Linked DNA regions of Pelodiscus sinensis. The protein of the gene in region 2 purifies or fractionates together with the protein of the main gene of each other region. This does not show direct contact. Links are inferred from orthologs where the notes say so. Each region holds a gene or a part of one and is shown on either strand. Other genes may lie near its edges.

Region 1 (6,972 bases), on a different chromosome or scaffold from region 2:
CGCAGCTCGTTGGTGGTCCAGTCGAACTCCTCGGAGCTGACGACATGGGTCTCCTGCAGCAGCTCGCACCAGCGCTGGTAGAGCCCCTGGGCCGTGTTCACAGCCTTCTGCACTTCCCTGGGGGCAAAGAGAGGGGGGCTGAGGAGGGGGCGAGCGAGGAGCAGGGCAGGGATCCCCAGGAAGGTGGCCTGGTGCTGCCAGGTCTTGCCCCGCTACTCTTCAGTCCCCACCCCAGAGGTGGCTGCATCTCGCACTAGGCAGGACCCCCCAGCAGCCCTGGCACCCTCCCAGCGAGGACTGGGAAGGGGGTCTCTCCTGCACAGGGTGGGTGGGGAGGATCCTGGTGGGGCACGGGGATAGGAGAAGGGTCTCTGCGGGGGAGGGGGGAGGGGAGTTCTCCAGGCGCGAGGAAGTGGGGCGGCCGGTGGGAGGGGGTTGTCCAGCGGCGCGGGAGACGGGAGGAGGTTTCTTCCGGGGGGCGGAGAGACGGGACGGGGCAGGGTCTGTTTAGGGGCGGGACGGGGGGGGGGAGAGAGGGCGGGACGGGGAGGTTTCTCCAGGACGGGGGGGGGGGCACGAGGGCGGGGGGGTTTCCCGGGGGGGATTTCCCCGGGGGGGGAGGCTTCCCCGCCCATATTCTAGGGGCACGATCCTGCGCGGGCCGCGGCCAACTCACCCCCGCACGGCAGCGAACGGGTCCTCCAGGGCCATGCTGCCCCGGCCCCGCTCCTGCTCCGGCTCCGCTCCCCGCCGCGCCCCGCCATGTGACCGGCGCTGGCCCTGCCCTCCCGAAGCTGCGGCCGCCGCCTTTGCTGAGGGCGGGGCGGGCCTGCCCGGACTTGGGGGGGAGGTGGCGGCTCCCCCCTTCTCAGCCTCCGCGGGGCGGGGGCTGCGCTGATCCCTAATTCCCGGCCCCGACCCGCTCCGCGCAGAGAAATTGAAGCCAGGAGTCCGGGCCCCCCACTTACCCCAGCCGGGGGGCTGGCACTGGAACCCAGGAGTCCTGACTTCCCCCTCCCCCACTCTAGCCACTAGGCTCCACTCCCTGCCCCCACAACAAGGGCTAGAACCTAGGAGTCCGTCCGGCCCCGCCCCCAACCATTACGCTCCCCCCCCCCCCCCAAGAGCTGAGCACTGAACCCAGGAGGTCTGACTCCTCTCCCCCATGTTCATTTCATTCCAGCCCAGCCAGTGGGACTAGTCCCTGCTGGTGCCCCCCCCCCCCCGGATTTCCCGGGACTCTTGGCTGCAGACGCCATGGGAGCCCGGCCCCCAGGCGGCTCCAGGATCCCGGCCTTTGAGGGGTGACAGGCAGCGCTTGAGACTAGCAGGCTGGGAGCAATAGCGGGGAGGGGGCTGCGTGCCCTGAGGTTGTGGGATGCGCGATTTGTTGAGGGGAGCCACAAGGGTTGCTGTGAGGAGGGGGGTTGCCTGTCAGAGTGTGGGGGGACTTGTGGCATGTGTGTGAGCTGTGTACAGCTAGATTGTGTACAGGCAGAGTGGTGAGGCAATGGGGGGGCATGGGGTGATATGCTGGTAATCAGATTGGGGGGAGGGTATGGACAGGCATCCTGTGAGGTGTATAGGTAGCTTGTGGGAAGAGTCGCACGTGGTATGTGTGCAGTCAGGTATTTGGTCAAGTTGTGGGGAGAGTTCTCGGAGATGTGTTAGGGGAGGTTAGGGGTGGAAGTGTAGAGCCAGATGGTGAGTAAGTTAGGTAGTGTTGGGGAGTTGTGAGTGGGTGGGAGAAATGGGCTGTATGGGGATGTGTGTAGTCAGGTTGTGTCTTCTTGGGTCGGGGGGATGTTGTGGGTGGATGTGTTGTATGTGGGGAAGGGATTGGTTGTGTCAAGTCAGACTGAAGGGGTTGTCATGTACTTAGGGTGATAGGTGGTGGAGAGTTTGTGTGGGTGTTAGGATGACAGGTGGTAAATGGGGGAGGGCTGGGGGTGACAGGGAGGTAGGGGTGACTGAGGGAGACTGGGGGTGACTGATAGGTGGGGGCTGGCTGGCTGGCTGGGATGCGATTGGAGACGGGGGGGTGAGAGGCAGGTAGGGGAGTTTTTAGGGAGAGATTGAGGGTACAATCAGGCAGTGGCTGGGGGGAGATCAAGGACTGGGGGTGTGAGAGGCAGGAGGGGGAGTTGTTAGAGATTGAGGGGACAGGCAGGTGGGGTCTGGCTGGGGGGACACAGGGAGCTGTGGGGGTGAGGGGCAGGAGGGGGAGTTGGGGAGAGTTAGAGGGGGCAGACAGGCGGAGACTGGCTGGGCGGAGATTGGGGGTTGTGGGGGTGAGGGGCAGGAGGGGCAGTTAGAGATTGAGGGGACAGGCAGGCGGGGTCTGGCTGGGGGGAGATTGGGGTAACAGGCAAGCGGCGGGTTGCTGGGGCGCCTGGCTGGGGGATGGGCGCATCCCACGTGCGGTGCGCGGAGGCAGGCTGCGGGGGAGGGATTTGCAGCGCGGGCAGATGGGTTTTTCCTGGTAGGATCCCGGAAGGAGGCTCCCCATAGCCCGCAATGGGGCCTTCCAGCCCTTGCCCTTATACGGAAAGAGGAAGCGAGCGGCGCTACAATCGCAACCCGGGTTGGAACGTTGGTGCGCGCCGCATTCGCGGCCCGCCCCCTGTCGTCATGGGCCCCAAATATAGTCATGGAAACGGTAACCAGGGAAGGCTGGGGTGACCTCAACAGTGGGGCGGAGCCTCCGCCTCTTCTTCCTTCCTCTTAAAGAGCCCGCGGGGGGAAAGGGCCTGTTGGCTGAGCGAGTATCCTCTGGGTGGCGGGGCCCGGGGGCTTAACTTTAACTAGCTGAAGCCCCCCCCCCCGCCCCCGCACTGACCCCCGGCCAGGGGAGGTGTCTTGCAAGGCCCGTTGCGGTGCATCCATGCAAAGCATGCGGGCTGGGAAGGTGTCACTGTTGGCCTCGGGGAGAACATGGCCCTCAGCGGAGGAGCTGGGCTCCATTGCATTGCCACGGGGGGTGCCCAGGGGGTGACTTGTAACAACCCAGAAAATGCCCCCCCCCCCAGCTGCAGGAAGCTTAACGCGCCCTGGCCTGGACGGGGCCACCTCCGGGGTGGGATCCAGCTGCGGACAGACCGCTTCGCCCCCCCGGGTTTCACACACGCAGCCGATGTTGGCGGGGCTGTGCCGGCCTCCACGCAGTCTGCCAGTCGGAGCGGGGTGTAACGAGCCGAGCCGTACGGCAGCTCGCATCGGGCGCACGCCACAGGAGTACGGTTTCATTCACAAAGAGTTCTGGCTCCGATTTGGGATCCGCTGTAGTAAGGTTTGTTTATTTGCATGAAACCAGATGCTAGAGAGCCTTGTGCAGACACACGTTTTGCAGCCACCACGCCAATGGGGCGGTTGCTCCAGTCCGTGGATTTAAACACAGATTGCGCTGTTTATCTACACACACACAACGGGGTTTGCCTTTGCCTTGGAGCTGCATTCCAGCCACCGCGCAGGGCGGTTTTATTGCGGCTGTGTGGCTGCGTTGGACGCAGGGAGAGATTTATTTGGCAGGCTGCAGTAAACAGAGAGCCGGTCTCGCTCCTTGTAACAGACACAACAACGTTGCTCGCCTTGCTTGCGTTGCGCCGAAGAGCTTGGCCTCGTGCGCATTTCAGGGCATTGCCCGCAGACCCGGCCGCGCGGCCCTGCCCACGCGGGTGGCCCCGGGGCTGCCGGGGTGGGTCGCATTGCGCGTGCACGAGGCGCTGCACTGGAGGCGGGGGCGCGCCCCCACCCGCAGGGGGCACGAGCCGCTGCATCGATTGCCCTGCCCGGCCATTTGGCGTCGGGGGGGGGGCTCCCTCCGGCCGCGGCGCTGCGCGTGCAAACCAGCCCCGGGCTCCACGCTGGACGCGCACAATGAAGCGCAAAGTTTGGGGATGTCCCTCCCCCCTCCCCCCGCGCTCCGGCTGCCTGGTTGCTTTGGCCAGCGGCTGCCCGGCAGGGTCCCTTCGGCTTCCTCCCCCTCCCCCACGCCCTGGCATTTCCGCCCCTCCCCCCACGGCGGCTGGGGGTGGCGGCGCGTTGCACCGGCCGGATGCGGCTGAGGGAGTGGGCGGGGGCGGCCCGGGCGCTGAGATCAGCAGGGGTATAAAAGCCGCGGAGCGGGGCGCGGCTGGGCTTAGTCCGGGCGGCTGGTCGGAGGCGGAGGAGCGGAGAGTCGCGAGCGAAGGCGGCGGCGCCGCAGCAGCAGCAGCAGCAGCAGCAGCTTCGCCCGGTGGGCGCGGGGGTGGGCAGACCCGGGCGCAGCCCCTCCCCCCAGCTCCGGCAGGGCCCGATCCTGCGCGCGGCATGGAGGCGCAGAAGGAGGCGCAGCGCATCATGACCATGTCGGTGTGGAAGCTCTACCACTCCCGCCTGCAGCGCGGCGGCCTCCGCCTGCACCGCAGCCTGCAGCTGTCGCTCGTCATGCGCAGCGCCCGGGAGCTCTACCTCTCGGCCAAGCTGGAGGAGGCGGAGGCAGGAGGCGAGGCGCCCTGCACGCCGGAGCAGTCGGCCGACCCCGGCCAACCCCCGCCGGAGGAGCGGGCGGCCCCCGCGGACTGTGCCGCCGCCCCCGGCGCGACGGAGCCCATGGAGACGCAGGAGAGCGGCGGGGAGCCGGCCCTGGCGCCCGCCTCCCCGGGGAAGCGGCCGGCGCGGGGCGTCTCGTTGCCCGGCGCGGGCAAAGGCAGCAGGAAGCGGCGGAGCAGCAGCCTGGACAAGCCGGGGGCGGCCGAGGCCGGGCTGGCGCCCAGCAAGAAGGCGCGGCTGGAGGAGGAGGCGGAGGGCGAGCGGCAGCCCCAGGGCCAGGACGGCCCCTTCCCCAGCCTGGCCAAGGTCCTGCAGCACCAGTTCGCCGGCAGACTGCGGAGCGGCCCGGCCAAGGGCCCCGATCCCCCCACGCCGGGCTGCCGGCCGGGGGACGGCGCGGTACTGAACATCCTGGTGCGAGCCGTGGTGGCCTTTTGAAACCGCTGCCCCGCCGCTTGGGGGGACTCGTGGCTGCGGGAAGCTGCCCCGCGGCGCGCCCGGCTCCTGGCGGGAGCTGGGGGGCGCAGCCCCTCTCCCTGGAGGAGGAGGGGGCGAGGAGCCGGCCGGGAGAGACACGCGAGGAGGAGGCTGGAGGACGGCGGAAGAAAGATCGGACTCTCCCCTCCCCTCCCCCGCCCGCTGCCCTCCCCACCCGGCTGGGACCGGGGGGAGGCGAGACAAAGGGCCGGGCCGCAGCGGGGCGAGAGACGCCGCCGCCTCCGCTTTGTGTGCGGGGGGACTGGGGGCCTGCCGGGAGGGCGAGCCTTGGGCTGACTGGTGCTATTTGCCGCCCCGCGCTCTGGGGGGGCCGGGCTGGGCTTCGGTAACTTGAGACGTGGGCCTGCTTCTTGCTCTGGGTCCTGGGGGCAGCCGGAGGGGAGGGGCGAGCTGGCGGGTTTCAACCCGAGCCGGAGCCGAGAAATACTCCAGGCCAGAGCTCCTGGATCCAGGCGGGTTTCGCCAGCCCGGGGGGGGGTCGTGGGAGGCCCGTTTCCTTCCTCAGGGGTTCACGCTTTTCTCGAAAGTGCTTCACCCCCCCCCCCCCGCCTTTATTCTTTATCCGAGGAAAAGCTCTGAGACGACCCCCCCCCCCCCCCCCCCCACTTCCAACCAGTCTGACAAGTTCTGACACAGCTCATATGACCAGCCATTGCATCACGCTGGGTGTAGCAGGGCAGCGGGGAATTTCCTGTTCGGCCACCTTTAGATGTTGTGTGTGTACGTGGAGCTGGTTTTTCAAGGGGGGGGGGGAGTGGGTGTCAGCCTGACTCATTCAGCCCCATAAAGAGGAACTGAGTCAGGGCTGGCTGGCTCTTAAAAACTCCAAGACAAATGAAAATGAGAGAAGTCACAGAGGCTGGAAGGTTTTTATTTCTCTTTCAGTCTGGGCGAAAGGCAAAGGGAGTTGGCCTGTTCTCTGGAGTGGTGGTTGAACGGCCCCGCATAAAATGTGAGTCTTAAACTTGGTCTGAATTGCTGAGGACAGAAAAAAGAGGGTGTCTAAGACTGACCGCATGCCCCCCAAGAATTTCAAAGGAGAAACTATTCCATGTTCCAATCCCATTGTAAACCACTGAGAACTGGCGGTCGATTGTCGATGCTTTTACATGTACGTGTTAACAAATAATTCTTGGGTTCCCCAGTTTCCTAGCTGTCTGCCCAGGAAACTGGCAAAGGGGTGAAAACAATCCTGCCCTCACCAAGTGTGTTACCCACATGTCTTGAATGTTTGTAAGTTATTTCTCTAGTTCTTTTTTTATTGGGGGGGAACTGCAGGCTGGGCTGGGCTGGGCTGGGGTTTCCTCCGCTGTCGTTATTTTTTTGTTAATGAAATAAAGACCATTTGTGAAACTGGCCCAGTTGTGGCTCTCCGGGTTTGTCAGGAACGTGGGAAATGGGTGGTTTTGAAAAGGCCTGGCTTAAGTTGAGGGGGCTTATCCAGGCTGGCCAACCTCAATGCCCACATGGGCTCCTAACCCCTCCCTAGGCTCAATCCTTTGATTACTGTAGGGCCCAGGTGCTGCTGTGGGAGGAGACGGATTCATGGGGGGGGGGGGGGCTGCTGCCTGGACCTCTTCCCCTCCCCCCTCAGTCTTGGCCTTTATATCCCTTTGTGACCTTTGCCCCTGCTGGGCTGTGGGGTGACCCTGGGGCAGGCTGACAAAACACCAGCTTGTGCAACTGCCCTTGGATGGGGATGGGGGTGGGAGTGTAAACAGGAGCCATTTAAATGGCTGGGTAACTGGCTCGAAATTCCCTTAGAAACACAGGAATCTAGCCAGTGCGGGAGGGGGGAAGTTAATGGCCGTGTGTGCCCTGAAACAGCTGGCGAGACTTCCCGGAGGGAGCTGCGCGTGGCAGCAGGGGCCTGTACCCGGCAAGAGGAGGGTTCTGTTGGAAGGGCCTGGAGAGGCAGCTAAGAGGCATGTCCTGGAGGCAGGT
Region 2 (7,101 bases):
AACCAGCAGGACAGTGTGGGGTCCCTTCCACTTCTCCCGGAGAGGCTCGTCCTTCCAGGTACAAATGAGCACGGAGTCTCCCGACTGCAAGCAGTGGACAGGGGCATCCAGCGGAAGAGGCTGTGAGTCTTTGGTGTACCCTGTGAAGAGAAGAGAGAGCAGCAGACAGAGAGCACATATACTGAGATAAAAAGCCGCATCCCAGTTCCCACTCCCCTGCCAGAGCCGGTGTCCCATTCATAGGCCATGCCCTTCCAAACATAATTTCAAAGGGGCTAAGCCCTAATCTACCCTTTGGGAGAGCGCGGATGTGGAGCAAAACAATGGGCAAAGCATCAGGACACCGTAGGGAGGCTTCTTGACAGATTTTCGAGAGGTGACGCTTAAGGGTCTGATTTGTGAGTTCCACCACTCCACTGGCCTGCGGTCGCCATGGCGTGTGGAGCTTCATTAACCCGTTCATTAACCGCCCTTAAGTCCTGGACTAGTCGATATGTGCCATCCGGCTTCCGGACAGGCAAGATGGGGGTGTTCCAGGCTGACTGACATTCCTGAAGTGTACTGCAGCTTAAGAACCGGTCTATAGTCTCCTGCAACCCTTCTCTGGCTTCCCTCTTAATCGGATACTGTTTGATCCGCACCGGGCTTTTGCCTGGGAGGAGCTGAATGCTGACAGGGGTTTGGTGTGTGGCCTTTCCCGGGACCCCTGATGACCATACTAGGGGGTACACCTGATCCTCCCACTGGCTCCACTCAGGGGCTTGCACGGCAGAGGGCTCAGCTGCCAGAGTCATTATCCAGGCATTCTCGGGGGGTAAGGTTAGGGTTATTTCATCCTGAGTGAAATGCAGGGTGGCACCTAAGCGACAAAGCAGGTCCTGTCCCAGCAGCGGTGTTGGGCACTCGGGGAGATAGACCAGCTTGTGAGTTATAGTTCTGTTTCCCAGAGTGCATTCTGCTGGGGCATACACTGGACACTGGGCTCCTTTTCCTGTGGCACCCACCACAGTGAGGGAGTCCGCCATGGGCAGCTGAAGGGGTTGGTTTACGGCGGTTCGTGCCGCCCCAGAGTCCACTAAAAAGTCTATTTCCGAATTTCCCACCCTCATTTTTACTCGGGGTTCCGGGGGCAGGATGATCTATTTCCCCTGACACCCTATTCATGAGTCTCTGCTGCCATCATGGGGGCACATTCTCTTTTGGGGCATTCATTTTTCCAGTGTCCCTCCTTTTGACACAAGGCACACTGGTTGCGACCCAGACGTCTTTCCTGCAGGACAGGGCACTTGGGCCACATTCACATGCCTTTACCCGCCTTTTTGAAATGTCATATGTGCACATTCATATATGCAATGTGGGAGTATTCCATGAGTGGCAGGGTCATAGTCAGAATAGGAAACAATAGTGCTCTGATTCTCCTAAGGAGGGAAACTCCTTAAGGACCGTTACCAGTTGATATAGTTTAGCGGAGGCCCTAGGCTGCTCTAATCCGCACATATGACTGGGCTGAAATAAAAGTATCCCCAAATGTAGGGACTACAAATAACTCATTGTCAATTCACAACTACCTCTATACTTTGCTGTGCTCTGTTTGAGAGGTTGGACTCAAGAGAGAACTTAGTGGTTATTCACATGATACCATGGAACTATGTATAAGAATGAACCTAATTTTCCCGTGTCGTTTCTATTGGCTATGACATTAATCACTTCCTAAAATAAACTGTAATAATAAACAGTAATATAGAAATCTTTTCATTATTTGTAGTCCAGTCCCAGATTTTTTTGTTGTTGCATTTTCAGGGATTTATTTTGACGAACGGCAATGAAAAGGAAAATAAAACTCCATGTTTTTCCATGCACCTGCACAACTGTTTCATGTCTATTGGTTGTCTTTTGTATACAAGGCAACTGTGATTAAATCCGCGGATGACGAGAACTGGAGATCCCTCCACACAGGTGGAAAGTCCCAAACTACAAAAGTAACCTGGAGTGATTAGAGAAAGTGAAAAGGAGGGCTGCAGGTAACAGGGGCAGATTTGGCCCTGATAAATGCACAGCTCTATACCCATGTATACCAAGCAAGCTGCTGCAGTGAAGGTGTGGAACAGGGAATGCACATATATGTGTGCATATTTCTGTCTTAAGAAGTGGAACACAAGGTGAACAAGTGTGAGAAGGACTGATCTAGACACATGTTCTTGAATGCAAGAGGCCTCCAGGATGATCTGGATGCTGAAGTGTTTGATTTACAGCACTGACTGAAGAGAATCAAGGGCACAGTAAAAGGTATTTTCATAGTGTGGTTTAATTTTCATAATACGGTTTTTAATATCCCTTTTAATATTTCTTGGTTACTCCTATGCCCTAAATTGCTGTAAAAATATTAACCAAATACCTGACTACTATGGGAACACCTAATGGTACTCTCATGTGTGGAGAAGGTAATTTGCTCATATAGAAATTGCTGTCATTCTTACTGAGGCATTTGTAACTTTACATTTGCACTGGAAATTGCTGGGTGCTGAAATTACTGTTTCATGTTTGTGTTTTGCAGAACCATACAGCTATAGAAGCTAAAATTAGTTAGTATGCTCCTCACAGGCCACCAGTTACCAGAAAACCTAGTTATAGTCCCCTTTCCATATCATCCTCACATCCTTTTTGGGCTGTCTGTCAGTTGTTTGTACATAATTTGCAAAGCATGTTGAGTTCCTTTGAAATGAAACAAAATGCAGGACAATGTAGCACTTTAAAGACTAACAAGATGATTTATTAGATGATGAGCTTTCGTGGGCCAGACCCACTTCCTCAGATCAAATAGTGGAAGAAAATAGTCACAGCCATATATACCAAAGGATACAATTTAAAAAAAGTGAACACATATGAAAAGGACAAATCACATTTCAGAACAGGAGGGGAATGCGGGGGGGGGGGGGGGGGGGAAGGAAGGAAGGTAAGTGTCTGTGAATTGATGATATTAGAGGTGGGGAGAGTGGGATGTCTGTGAGCTAGTGGTATTAGAGGTGATAATTGGGGAAGCTATGTACATTGGACAAACATCTCAGACACTTCGCCAAAGGATTAATGCCCACAAAACAGATATCAGACAAGATCACAAAGAAAAAACAGTTTCTTGCCATTTTAACCAGAAAGGACTCTCTCTCAATGACTTAACCACCTGCATTCTGCTACAAAGACCTTTTACATCTACACTTGAAAGGGAATCCTCTGAACTGTCATTCATGTTAAAATTCGACACTCTCCGGGAAGGAATGAACAAACACTCAAACTATCTTACCCATTACCAAGATAGCTTCCCCAATTATCACCTCTAATACCATTAGCTCACAGACATCCCACTCTCCCCACCTCTAATATCATCAATTCACAGACACTTACCTTCCTTCCTCCCCCCCCCCCCCCGCATCCCCCTCCTGTTCTGCAATGTGATTTGTCCTTTTCATATGTGTTCACTTTTTTTTAATTGTATCCTTTGGTATATATGGTTGTGACTATTTTCTTCCACTATTTGATCTGAGGAAGTGGGTCTGGCCCAGGAAAGCTCATCATCTAATAAACAATCTTGTTAGTCTTTAAAGTGCTACATTGTCCTGCATTTTGCTTCAGCTACCCCAGACTAACACGGCTACATTTCTATCACTATTTGAAATGAAAGGCTCCCTGTAAATATAGGATGTTTTTATGCTGCAGCTATGGTTAAAAACTAAATGCCTTTTTTGTTTTTCAACACTCCCCCAGTTCTTTAATAAAACAAGGGCAGAAACCATTTCCGTGCATCCTCTCTTATTTTTCTTGAAATCCACATCTTCCCTGGGTTATTTATTTTAACAGCTGCCTTCCCTCAGATGACAAAGTTATAAAGCTTTGGTTACATTAAGACCTTTACCCAGAATGAGATAAGGTCACAGAGTCTCCCTGTTCCCAGACTCTGCTGTTTTCCCTTCTTTCTAAGAAGACAAACAGAGACCTAAAGGAGAGCAGGATATTGCGGGCAGTGTCGTTCAGGGTGTGTGTTTACAGGCAGGACTGACTTAGTCAGCAAATCCTGCTCTGATGAGCTCCAGCCAATGAAGAGCCTATCCCAGCTTGCTTGGGGGCTTCAGAGTTCGAGCAGCATGCATGCAGAAATGTGAGGCGGCTCTCTTCCTGGTGCTTGCTGCTGATAGCAAAATGGGGTCCGGCGACAGCGATTACTTGGGTTTCCCAGCTCTGCAGACCCAGGAGGGGTCCTGTAATGCACCTACCATGCGGTCTGCTTTGAAAGCAGACGGACTTCTCATGGACTGAGGAGACTTGGTTTATTTTAATTTTTAAATTTATTTTTGGAAGATGAAATGCTTTTCTCGTTACCTGCCTTACATCTTCAGACCTCCGAACACCGTCCTCGCCTGCAGCTGCCACACAGAAGGTACAGCTCAGTAGTGGACGACTGGTGGGAGGAGGGGAAATGTGGGGTGTGTGGAAAAAGTGGGAGAGGAGCATGACTGCCCCAAAAGCTCTGATGACATTGCCTTTTGCTGCTAATACACGGCAGTGATTGCTGGCGAAAGCTTACGTGTGCCAGACTTAGAAATTAGTTCAGCCTTGTGGAAAGCAAGGGGACACTGTTATCATTAGCTAGCCATTGTCGAGAGGAAGACTGGTTTGAACGTTTAGCAGATTATTTCTGCAAATATTCATGATTTTTCTACTATGTTTACACTTACTATGCAAACTAGTAATCAGACCTGATTTTAAGAAAAACTGTCACTAGATATTTACCAGAAATTTTTACAGGCTTATACACTTTTCTCATTGACAGTTTAACTCAGCTGTGCATTTCCAGGAAAGCAATTAAGTACATTTTAGCATTTTACTGGTTTGTGTAGTATTCACTCTTTTACTCCTTCACTTGAGCCCTTTTCAGCTCTTAGCAGTAAGGGTGTGCAGCACCTAATATTAAATCTAAGGTTTGAACTTAATACCCTTGATTTTAGTGGGACAGCTACTTCCCCCTTCCATAAGGAGCTTTCTCTCCTGCTAGTTTATAATCATGTATGTATGTCTATCATGTGTGAACTAGCAGGCAATTTTGTGAATCACCTACAATAATTTCTGACAGCCAGGAAAAATAAAAAAATTATACTGATATTAATTCCCTATTTGTAATTGAAATATTTTTTCACACATCTTATACAATGAAAGATTTGTAGGAAAAAATCTAAACATGTTTATCAATGAATGTCTAATTAGACAGAGTATTGCTTTGCAAGTAGTGGAAAGTTGATGTGAGTGAGAAGGTCCAAATCATGCTCTTCCTTGTGCTAGTGTAAGGGCCCAATAATGCAATCATTACCATGACATTGCTCAAGGTAGAAGCATCACACTGAGTATCACGTGTTTACAGAGTGAGGCCTTAACACTAGAAAAAGTCTTCATTTCAGTGGAGCTATTCTTAATATATAGAGTCTCACAAGGATAACAGAGAACACTTTGGCCCCATGGAAGTTTTAAATAAGTGCTTAAATGAAGTATTACGGGGTGTGTTGGCTTACATAGTTTGTTTTAGAAATCAAATTACCTATTTTCATTCTATAATTTCTGATTTTTTTCCATATTGGGAGCCAAAATTATAGGAGATAGAAGTGATTTGACTTCAATAAGAGTATCTAGCGATACTTTGCATAAATAATTTTCAAGTGAAATTATTTAAAGTGGAAGGTTTCAGTGATGATTTATTTGCTTAGGGTTTTTTTTATTAGTTATGTTTACATTGAATGATTTCAGTTTTCCTTTATATTTGCCAATTGAATGGTGAGCTACAACACTTAAACAGTTTGAAAATGTTTTTGCTCACCTGTTGACATGAGATGGATCTAGGAGAAGGGTGGGCAATAAGTTCCGATGATGGGGGCACTCCAAGAATTTAAGTGGTCAAAAGCCATACTTTTTGATGAGTATGTGTGTGATCTGGGATGGAGATTGGGTGAAGAAGAGAACTTGTGGTAGAGGATTGGGATACAGGAGGGAATGTGGGATTTGGGAGGTAGTTTGGATGAAGAAGCAGATTGTGACCTGGAGCAGGGGATAGGGGCGCAGGAGTAGGGAGCAGTGCAGGAGAGGATTCTGACCTGGGGGAGGGATGTAAGAGGGGTGCAGAGTCTGGAAGGGAGTTGTGACCTGGGGCAAGGGTGCAGAGGATTTGCATGCAGGAGGGGTTGTAACCTGGGGAAGGGTGCAGGAGCAGGGCAGAAGGCTGGGGTGCAGGAGAGAGTGTGATGCAGGTGCAGGCTCTGGCTGGGAGGTTCTTACCCTAGGTGGCTCCCAACCAGCAACCCAGCATGCATGCCAGTCTGAAGCAGCCGATTATTGGGATCACGTGCATTTCTGCACCACGCACCCTTTGAGAAGGGGCCTCTGCATGCTATGTGTGCTGCGAGCACAGCCCAAACATGTGGTCATAAGTCTACCTGCTACCATTCAATGTAAAAATAATAGCAATTTGTAATGAATGTGAATTTTGTTTAATAAGGACCTTGATCCTGTGCAAGTGGCCCCATTGAAGCCAGAGTGGTTACTTGCACAAGCATTATTACATGTGTAAAATATTTGTAGGGTTGAGTAATGTATGTACAGTTTTTGCCTATCCTGACGTATATGGGATCACTAACTTTTGTACATTTTGAAAATTGATGACATGAAGGATATTAAAAAAAAATCAGTAGAAGCAAGGGCAAGCTTCTAAAACCAAGCTAAATTTAAGTGTGATGTATTTTCTTGCACACAATTCAAGTTTTCCAAACATGAAATTGAGTATATGTCTTCACTGAAGAATTAACTTGGATGATTGGCGCCTGGATTAACATATCCCTCTGAGGAACCACAGTGCAAAGCCATACTTGTGTGACTGTGTCCTTTACTGCTGATGCACTTGCACATATTTGTCACTAGGACATGGGGTCATGCCCTGAAGTTTTTTGTGCTGCAATAAACTTAGCCATTCTATGATTCTTTCTGGGGAATTTTGGGATAACTTGTTCTTCGGAGTTCCTGAGGTGGTGGTGTGGAAATTTATGAAGGCACTGGAGGACTGTCAAGCAC
Region 3 (7,053 bases), on a different chromosome or scaffold from region 2:
AGGAAGGTATTTCCTAGAAGGCATAATATTTACATTCAACAGAGAAAGCATAATGCTCTGGATACAAAGGAAGTTTGGGGCTTGTTGAAATATCACACACCAGCTAAACCTAACAGCCTTACAGTGCAAGCTGCCTTGGATTTATATGCATCCAGAGACTGCACAAATCAGGCTTTTATAGAGAAACAGGATCACATGCATTATTTGTTCCTTGGCTGCCTTTTTTAGCTTTGACATGGCACAGCTTGAAGGGAGATCTTCACACTACTGACGAAAGGTCAAATACTCATGCACTTCTTGGCTATGTCTACACTGCAGGCTTCTTGCGCAAGAACAGCTGTTCTTGCACAAAAACTTGGAGAGCGTCTACATTGCACGCGCGTTCTTGCGCAAGTAAATTTACATTAAAGTGTCGGAACAAAGGGCTTCTTGCGCAAGAGTTCTTCCTCTCCCCACGAGGAATAAGCCCTCTTGTGCAAGAGCTCTTGCGCAAAAGGCAATGTGGACGGGCAACTGGGGTTTCTTGCGCAAGAAACCCCTCTGGCTAAGATGATCATCAGAGCTTTCTTGCACAAGAGAGCGTCCACACTGCCATGGACACTCTTGCACAAAAGAACATTTCTTGCGCAAAAGTACATGGCAGTGTGGACAAGCTCTTGCGCAAAACAGTTCCTTGCAAGAAGCTGGCAGTGTAGACATAGCCCTTCTGTGTTTCCATGTTATTTTAAAGGCTTTGGTGAATATAACAAGTAAAACCGGAATTTTGATTTGGTGGGTGATTTTCTTCCAAGAGATGCTGACTTTAAAAATACTGTTAGATTTCAGAAAAATAGCTTCTGAATTTTGACTAACACAATTACTGCATCTGAATTAAAGAATCTACTCCTTATGGTTTCTGTTGCAGCAGGCTGACTTGGGAGAAATGTACTGGATTCCTTTCAGCAGATTTCCCTGTCCAGCAGGCCTTTTATGGAAGACTAGATTTTATAAGACTCAAAACAAAGCCATCCACACACCCCCATCTTCCAAAAGTTTTATCCAGCCTACCGCAGTGCTTAGAACTGTACTGGAGACAAAGGATCAGAGCAGTCAGGGCCCCTGTATATCCTTAAGTGCCAGTTTTTGCGGCACTGCCAACTAGTTGACTGCCAAGCGCTTAGCTACTGATCTCCATAGGCTCAATGAACACTCCCCTTGGCCCATCCACCCCACCACAGCTGCGGGGCCTTGGGTGCGGGTGTTGCTGGTTTCCATTATATACAGTTAAGCTCAGTGGAGGACAGCACTCCCACTGTAAACATTCTTCCAGACCCCTCACACCCCCCCCCCCCGACCTGCAGAAGGAAAATGCCCATCCAACAATTGCCACCTACCCCCTCCAGCTCCAGCCCCACCCAGCCACGTGCACCTGCTCCACCGCTAGTCACTGGGGAGGGGGAGGCGCCTTCCCGCCAACCCATCCCACCCCTGCCCCTCCTCCCCCCCGGCGGGCTCTACCTTGAGATAGTCATTTTCCGAGCGCAGCTCCTCGATCTCCCGCAGCAGCTCCTCCTCCTCGGCCCGCTGGCAGGGGGCGGGCGCGCGGCTGCCCAGCCGCATGGCCCCCGGGCCGGGCGCGCTCTCCGCGGCTCGCCCCCAGCTCGCCGCGTCTCCCGCCGCGCTGCCTGGGCTGGCCCCGGGGGCGGGCGAGGCGGGCTGCGGGCTGCAGGGCGGGGCGGGCCGCGCCGCGGCGGCGCTGCTCTCCGGGGGAGGCTGGCTGGCGCCGGGCAGCGGCGTGCCCGCTCGGCCCGGGGCAGACGGCGGCGGCTGCTCCCGGTCGCTGGAGCCGGTGCCGGACTCGGCGTCGCTGCTGGCGGCCTGGGCCGGGCGCTGCTCGTCGGAGAGCGGTTCGGAGGGGCAGTCGGACAGGTCGGAGCTGCTGTCCGTGTGGCTGAGCCTGGCCGGAGCCGCATGGCCGCTGCCCAGTCCGGGCGCGGCGGCCGGGGCCAGGGAGCCACCCTGCGGCAAGGGGGCGCTTCTCTTCCCCTTCCTGCCTTTGCCGGGCGGGTGGCCCGGCTCCTGCCTGGCCCCGGCCTTGCCGCCCCCCTGCTCCTGGGCCCGGGACGCCTTCTTGCTCCACAGGGCGGCTTTGGCGCTGCCCGTTCGCCCGCCCGCCCCAGCGGCTGCCGCTGCCTTGGCGCCCTGCGAGCCGCTGCGCCTGGAGAGGCGGCTCTGGGTGGCCAGGAGCCCGGCGGATTGGGGCGAGGGGCCCGGCTGCGGCGGCTTCCCCGAGAGGCTGGGGGATTTGGGAGGCACCGGCGGGGGCTTGGCGGAGGATGCCCGGCCGTGGAGATCCTTGAGGAAGGGCCTGGCTGGGGAAGGGGCTCGGTTCAGTCGCTTCTTCTCGCTGTAGGGGTGGTGCTGGCTCTGCTGCTGCGGCTGCTTGAGGGGCTCACTGGGGCTGGTGCCATTTAAAGTCTCCATGGTCCAGGCAGAGGAGGAAGCAGCCGCAGCCGAGGGGGTGTGGGGCACTTGAGGCTCTTTAATCCTGGCCACCCACAGGAATGGCAGCGGCAGCCAGCCTCCGGGCACAGCGCGGCAGCACGAGCAGCCTCCCCCAGCCGCGCCGCTTGTCTTCTCATCACTTCTGCCGCTCCCCAGCCACGAGCCTCACACTTTTCCTCTTTGACCCCCACCCTCGCCCCTCCGCGCAGCCCCCACCCTCCTCCGTCTCTTTCCGGCGCTGGCTCGGTTCAATCACATGCAGGCAAATCCGTTAGTGGCAGGCTGGCAGCTTTCTCCTTCCCTGCCGCGCTCCCCGGCTCAGCCTGATGCAGCACCAAGTTGTTTTGCAGCCCGAGCCATCCACTCGCTTTTCCTTTGGTCCGAGGCGAATGACTGTTTGTTTTCCAACGTCCTCCTCTTCTTTCCCCTGAGCTCACACACCCTCATTCCTCCGCCCCCAGCGGCTACCCCATCTCTCTCCCATCCCTCCTTCTCTCTCGCCTGCGGCGCCCTACAATCTTCCCAGGGTCCTTCCTCCTCCTGCTGAAATAGAGAAACTGCAAAGCCTGCTGTCTCTCTCTCTCTCCGCTCCTGACGCTTCCCCGGTCTGTGCGCATGATCCTCCCCCCGCTGTCACCGAGCCAAACTGCTCTGTGCGAGCCACTTTTTCCTAGAGCTCCCTGTATGCGTGTTTATAACGCCTCCTGGACTAGTTACTACCTATAAATCCAGATAGAAGGACATTTCATACTTCAGCTATTAGGTTAAATATGTTTTTTAGCACTTCACTGCTTTGCAAATAATCTCTCCCAACAGGTTTGCCTCAATAACAATCTGCTACCTGCAGTTTCTCTTGCTGAAGACACCAGTAAAAGCTAGTTATCCAGAAGATCAGTAGCTGGCTATGTGCTGAAATAAAAAATGGATGGAACAGTCCCTTTGGTGCTTACCGGGGTATAAAACAGTAAAGAGATACATTGGAAAGGTATCTACATATTAAATGAAAGGAAGGAGGAATTAAGGCACAAAAAGGGACCTGCCCAATCTAGTGGTTTAAGCATAGAGAGAGACAGGAGATTTCTGGCTCTTCTGCTGACTCACTGTTCTCATCTGTCAAAAGAGGATAGTAAATAAATACATATCTCACAAAGGTGCTGGGAGGCTTAATTCATTCCTGTGTAAAGCTTGGCATAGAAGGCTCTTTCAAAACGTGCCTGTGTGACTTCATGGTCCAGCTCTCTAGTCACTGGAAGTTGGGTGCTTAACATTCTTTGGCACTGTTGAATGTCTCACTCAATATTCAAAATGCAGTATCTTACTATGAAAGGTGGGAGTCGCAAGGATTGCTGAATGTAAGAAAGCCAGATAACCACTCATCCCTCCCAGAGAGTCAGCGCATGCTAACCAGTGGATAGCGCCTGCCTCTGAGTTCAAGTGCCACACTGGAATTTAGATTTATATCTGTATCTGCTGCTGCAGTGCAGTAGAGAAGGTATTGCAATATTGGTACCATTCTCTGGATGAGACATTCAAGAAACTGGGGTGATGTATATCTTTAAAGACCTCTTGGCAATTTTATTTATTAAAGAATTGTGATAAGTGGTAGCCTGAGGAAAGTTTACTTTTTCAGTAGGAGAGGTTTTTATGGCCAATGGTATGTATGAGCTATTGCTGAGCATATTAATGGTTGCCTGTGCCTACACAGACATTGTATTTTGTAATGTATATTGTTTTGCAAAGAATGTGATTATGAAAGGCTGTAATAAAGAATAGCACTGTATGTGACAAAACTAGTGTCTGCAACCACTTGCAAGCAACACTGCAGTAAATCCCCACAAAAATCTCTTAGATATGTTTGGGTGGCTAAATTCTGGAATTGCTTAGTGGCAATCTAAAACTGACCATTCCACTGGAGGTTGTCAGGAGCAAAGCCGTTTGTGCTTTGATTCTGCCTCAGTTGTGTTGTTGCTTTTTCTCAAACCTAAAACAAGAGACTGGAACTTCCACAAGGAGACAACACTTTGGAAGAGGTCTGATTGAAAAGTCTGAGGAAATTATGGAATGTCTGGGGGTGAATTTCTTTTCTCCTGCTGTTAGAACCAGGTCCAATACCTATTGCAGAGAATGCACACGTTTAAAATTATTTCAATGAGCATTAGATCAGACCCTTATGGTGAGGCAGATAATGTTTTTTCTTGAGAAATTTAGATTTTTTTTCTGATAGCTTCAGCTGTAGAAAAATGACCAGCTTTTGCTGTTATAGGCTGCTCTTCTAAAGACATCCTAAAAGGTATTTCTGAGCAGTGTGACGAAGCTTGCACTTGCTGCTGCCTGTCGGTGCATGTCCTACCCAAAAAGAGAAGATTGGTCTCCGGAGACATCAGTTCAGCTCCTTTTGCAAGTGATACCCGTGTTTTTAGCTTTAAGCCAGCTCTTCTATTCTAGCACAGAAGATGAGTATTCACTGATTACTAATTGCACAGGATAGAGAAGTGTCAGCAGGACCAACATGAAGTGACTCTGCTTTGACCTCTGTTTAGCAGCAGCACTTCAATGCAGTGGCCTTTGTAACACATCATTATATATCTCAATCTTTTCTAACAGGCAGCTGTATTGCTGCTTTCTTGTTGCCATAATTATCAGTGGATGATTGGAACGGTACATGTTCACAATGCACCTGTTCTCTTTTTGTAAAACGTTGTGTTCTGTAGCTAGCCATTGTTTACTCTCTCCCTAAGTCATGTTAATTATCATGAAAACTGCTACTAGTGATAGATCTTCCCATAACTTCGATCTCACAGGGTTTCCTTTGCTCTGTATATGTTGCCACCACCATTCTGCTTTATTTTTTAAGCATAGAATAAAGCTCCTTGATACCTCCCACTTCCTCTGTTTTGAATTAAGTGTCTCATGACAGAAATTGAGCTGTTCTGCTCTAATTAAGAAATACTGTATATTGACCTGGCAATTGAACTGTATACTGTATGAATACATTGGTTTAGTGTCATAGGGTGATGTAAGGTAAAACAAACCTGCAGGGAAGAAAGATAAGCCATTTCTGGGCAAACACTTTAAGAGAATGCCAGGGCAGGAAAGGAGTTGCTGGAATTGCTGAAGAAGTTAGGACTGCTTGGGTTACCAAGCTTTTGCTGTTATAGGTTGCTCTTCTAAACATAGGTATTTCTGAGCAGGTATTTCTTGTCTTACCTTTAGGTAAGAGGCATATCAAATCCCTTTCATTGTAATGCTTTGTTTCTACTATGGAAATAAAATGCTTTGGTTTAAAAAGGCTGTTTTGTCACTGCATACTCTACTGTCACAGTCTCCTGAAGAGAATAATTGCAGGTGCCAGAATACAATACACAGGGTACTACAACATCAACTGGATTTGTTTACACCACTATTCAAGCAAAACAAAGGAACAAAAAGCCTATATAAAAGAAATAAAGCAACAGACAGCAAAACATACATTACAATAAAGGCCTAATTTTCATTTACACCAAGACCTGTTTACATTGCTCTGGAAGGGTAAAAGGCTGAATGTGGTTGTCTATTAAATGAGTAAACAAGAAATGTAATATTGGTAATCCTTACTGAGCACCTGACTGACTGATTACATTTGTCAGGTTTTTGTGGTATGCGTACTCTAGTGTTAGGGCCTAATCCCCTGTATTAGGGCTTAATCCCCCCAATTCCCCTGCTGTGTATATAATGCCCACTAAGGCTTTACATTACTATGGAAATAGGGTGACCATATTTCCCTATACTGAATACTGTACACCTGGCAAAATTACCCATATTCAAGCTAACTCAACAGCAGCCAATATCAAGTCAACTGAGCCCCTGTCAGAAAGCAATGCTGTGTAGTTGGATTATTTTTATTTACCTTATCTATAAGGATTTAGTGTTCACACATGGAGGGTGACTCAGGCTATGTCTAGATGGCAGAGTTTTACAGCTTTTTTTTTTTCAGAAGAAGGTTTTCTGAAACTTGGCTCATCTACACGGGGCCAAATTTCAGAAAACCCTCCTCTTTCAGAACATCCCTGTTTCCTCTCACTTGGGTATGTCTACAAAAAGAGCCGTTGTCCCGGAAAAACTACATTTATATCGACACTGCAATTGCATTCTTTCTATAGACAGTTGAAAGGCCACAGGGGTTTTTCCAACAGTAATAAACCTCTTTCTATGAGGAAGAAGCCTTTTTCCAAAAGAGCTCTTTTGGAAAACGGCATGTGTGGAAAGGGAAGAGGTTTTTTTTTCCAAAAGAAGAAGTCTCCAGGAAAAAGCACAGGTGTCCTGGTGGCCACTCCATCCACAGTAATCACAGCCGAAATGCGAGATAGCGTCCAATCAATGTGGACGCTATCTTTTGAAAAAACACATTGCTTTTTTGTTGTGCTTTTGCTGTGTAGATGCTCTCTTTGGAAAGAAGTTTTTCCAGAAGATCTCTTCTAGAAAAGCTTCTTCCGAAAGAAGCCTGCAGCCTAGACATAGCTACAGAGAGGAATACAGAGATGATAAAAATGCCCGCTTTTTTGGAAACTTCTGAAAAAGCGGACGTGTTCC

What was found. Proteins that work in one complex are often made in the same cells at the same time.
Region 1: the proteins of PPP2R2B (region 2) and IER2 purify together in Homo sapiens (affinity purification with mass spectrometry; 3 studies listed by BioGRID and IntAct, with this or other methods). This does not show direct contact. The link is inferred for Pelodiscus sinensis from reciprocal best matches to the Homo sapiens genes PPP2R2B and IER2.
Region 3: the proteins of PPP2R2B (region 2) and MTCL1 purify together in Homo sapiens (affinity purification with mass spectrometry; 4 studies listed by BioGRID and IntAct, with this or other methods). This does not show direct contact. The link is inferred for Pelodiscus sinensis from reciprocal best matches to the Homo sapiens genes PPP2R2B and MTCL1.

The regions. Positions count from the first base shown.
Region 1 is NC_134729.1:13,737,779-13,744,750, forward strand, and holds IER2 (immediate early response gene 2 protein), read left to right. Parts: upstream 1-4,116; 5' UTR 4,117-4,308; coding exon 4,309-4,968; 3' UTR 4,969-6,385; downstream 6,386-6,972. Other genes in the region: STX10 (syntaxin-10), read right to left, coding at 1-117, 677-711. UniProt on the Homo sapiens protein: DNA-binding protein that seems to act as a transcription factor. Involved in the regulation of neuronal differentiation, acts upon JNK-signaling pathway activation and plays a role in neurite outgrowth in hippocampal cells.
Region 2 is NC_134727.1:20,810,552-20,817,652, forward strand, and holds the start of PPP2R2B (serine/threonine-protein phosphatase 2A 55 kDa regulatory subunit B beta isoform), read left to right. Parts: upstream 1-4,044; 5' UTR 4,045-4,350; coding exon 4,351-4,429; intron 4,430-7,101. UniProt on the Homo sapiens protein: The B regulatory subunit might modulate substrate selectivity and catalytic activity, and might also direct the localization of the catalytic enzyme to a particular subcellular compartment.
Region 3 is NC_134712.1:84,712,906-84,719,958, reverse strand, and holds the start of MTCL1 (microtubule cross-linking factor 1), read right to left. Parts: upstream 3,088-7,053; 5' UTR 2,464-3,087; coding exon 1,498-2,463; intron 1-1,497. UniProt on the Homo sapiens protein: Microtubule-associated factor involved in the late phase of epithelial polarization and microtubule dynamics regulation.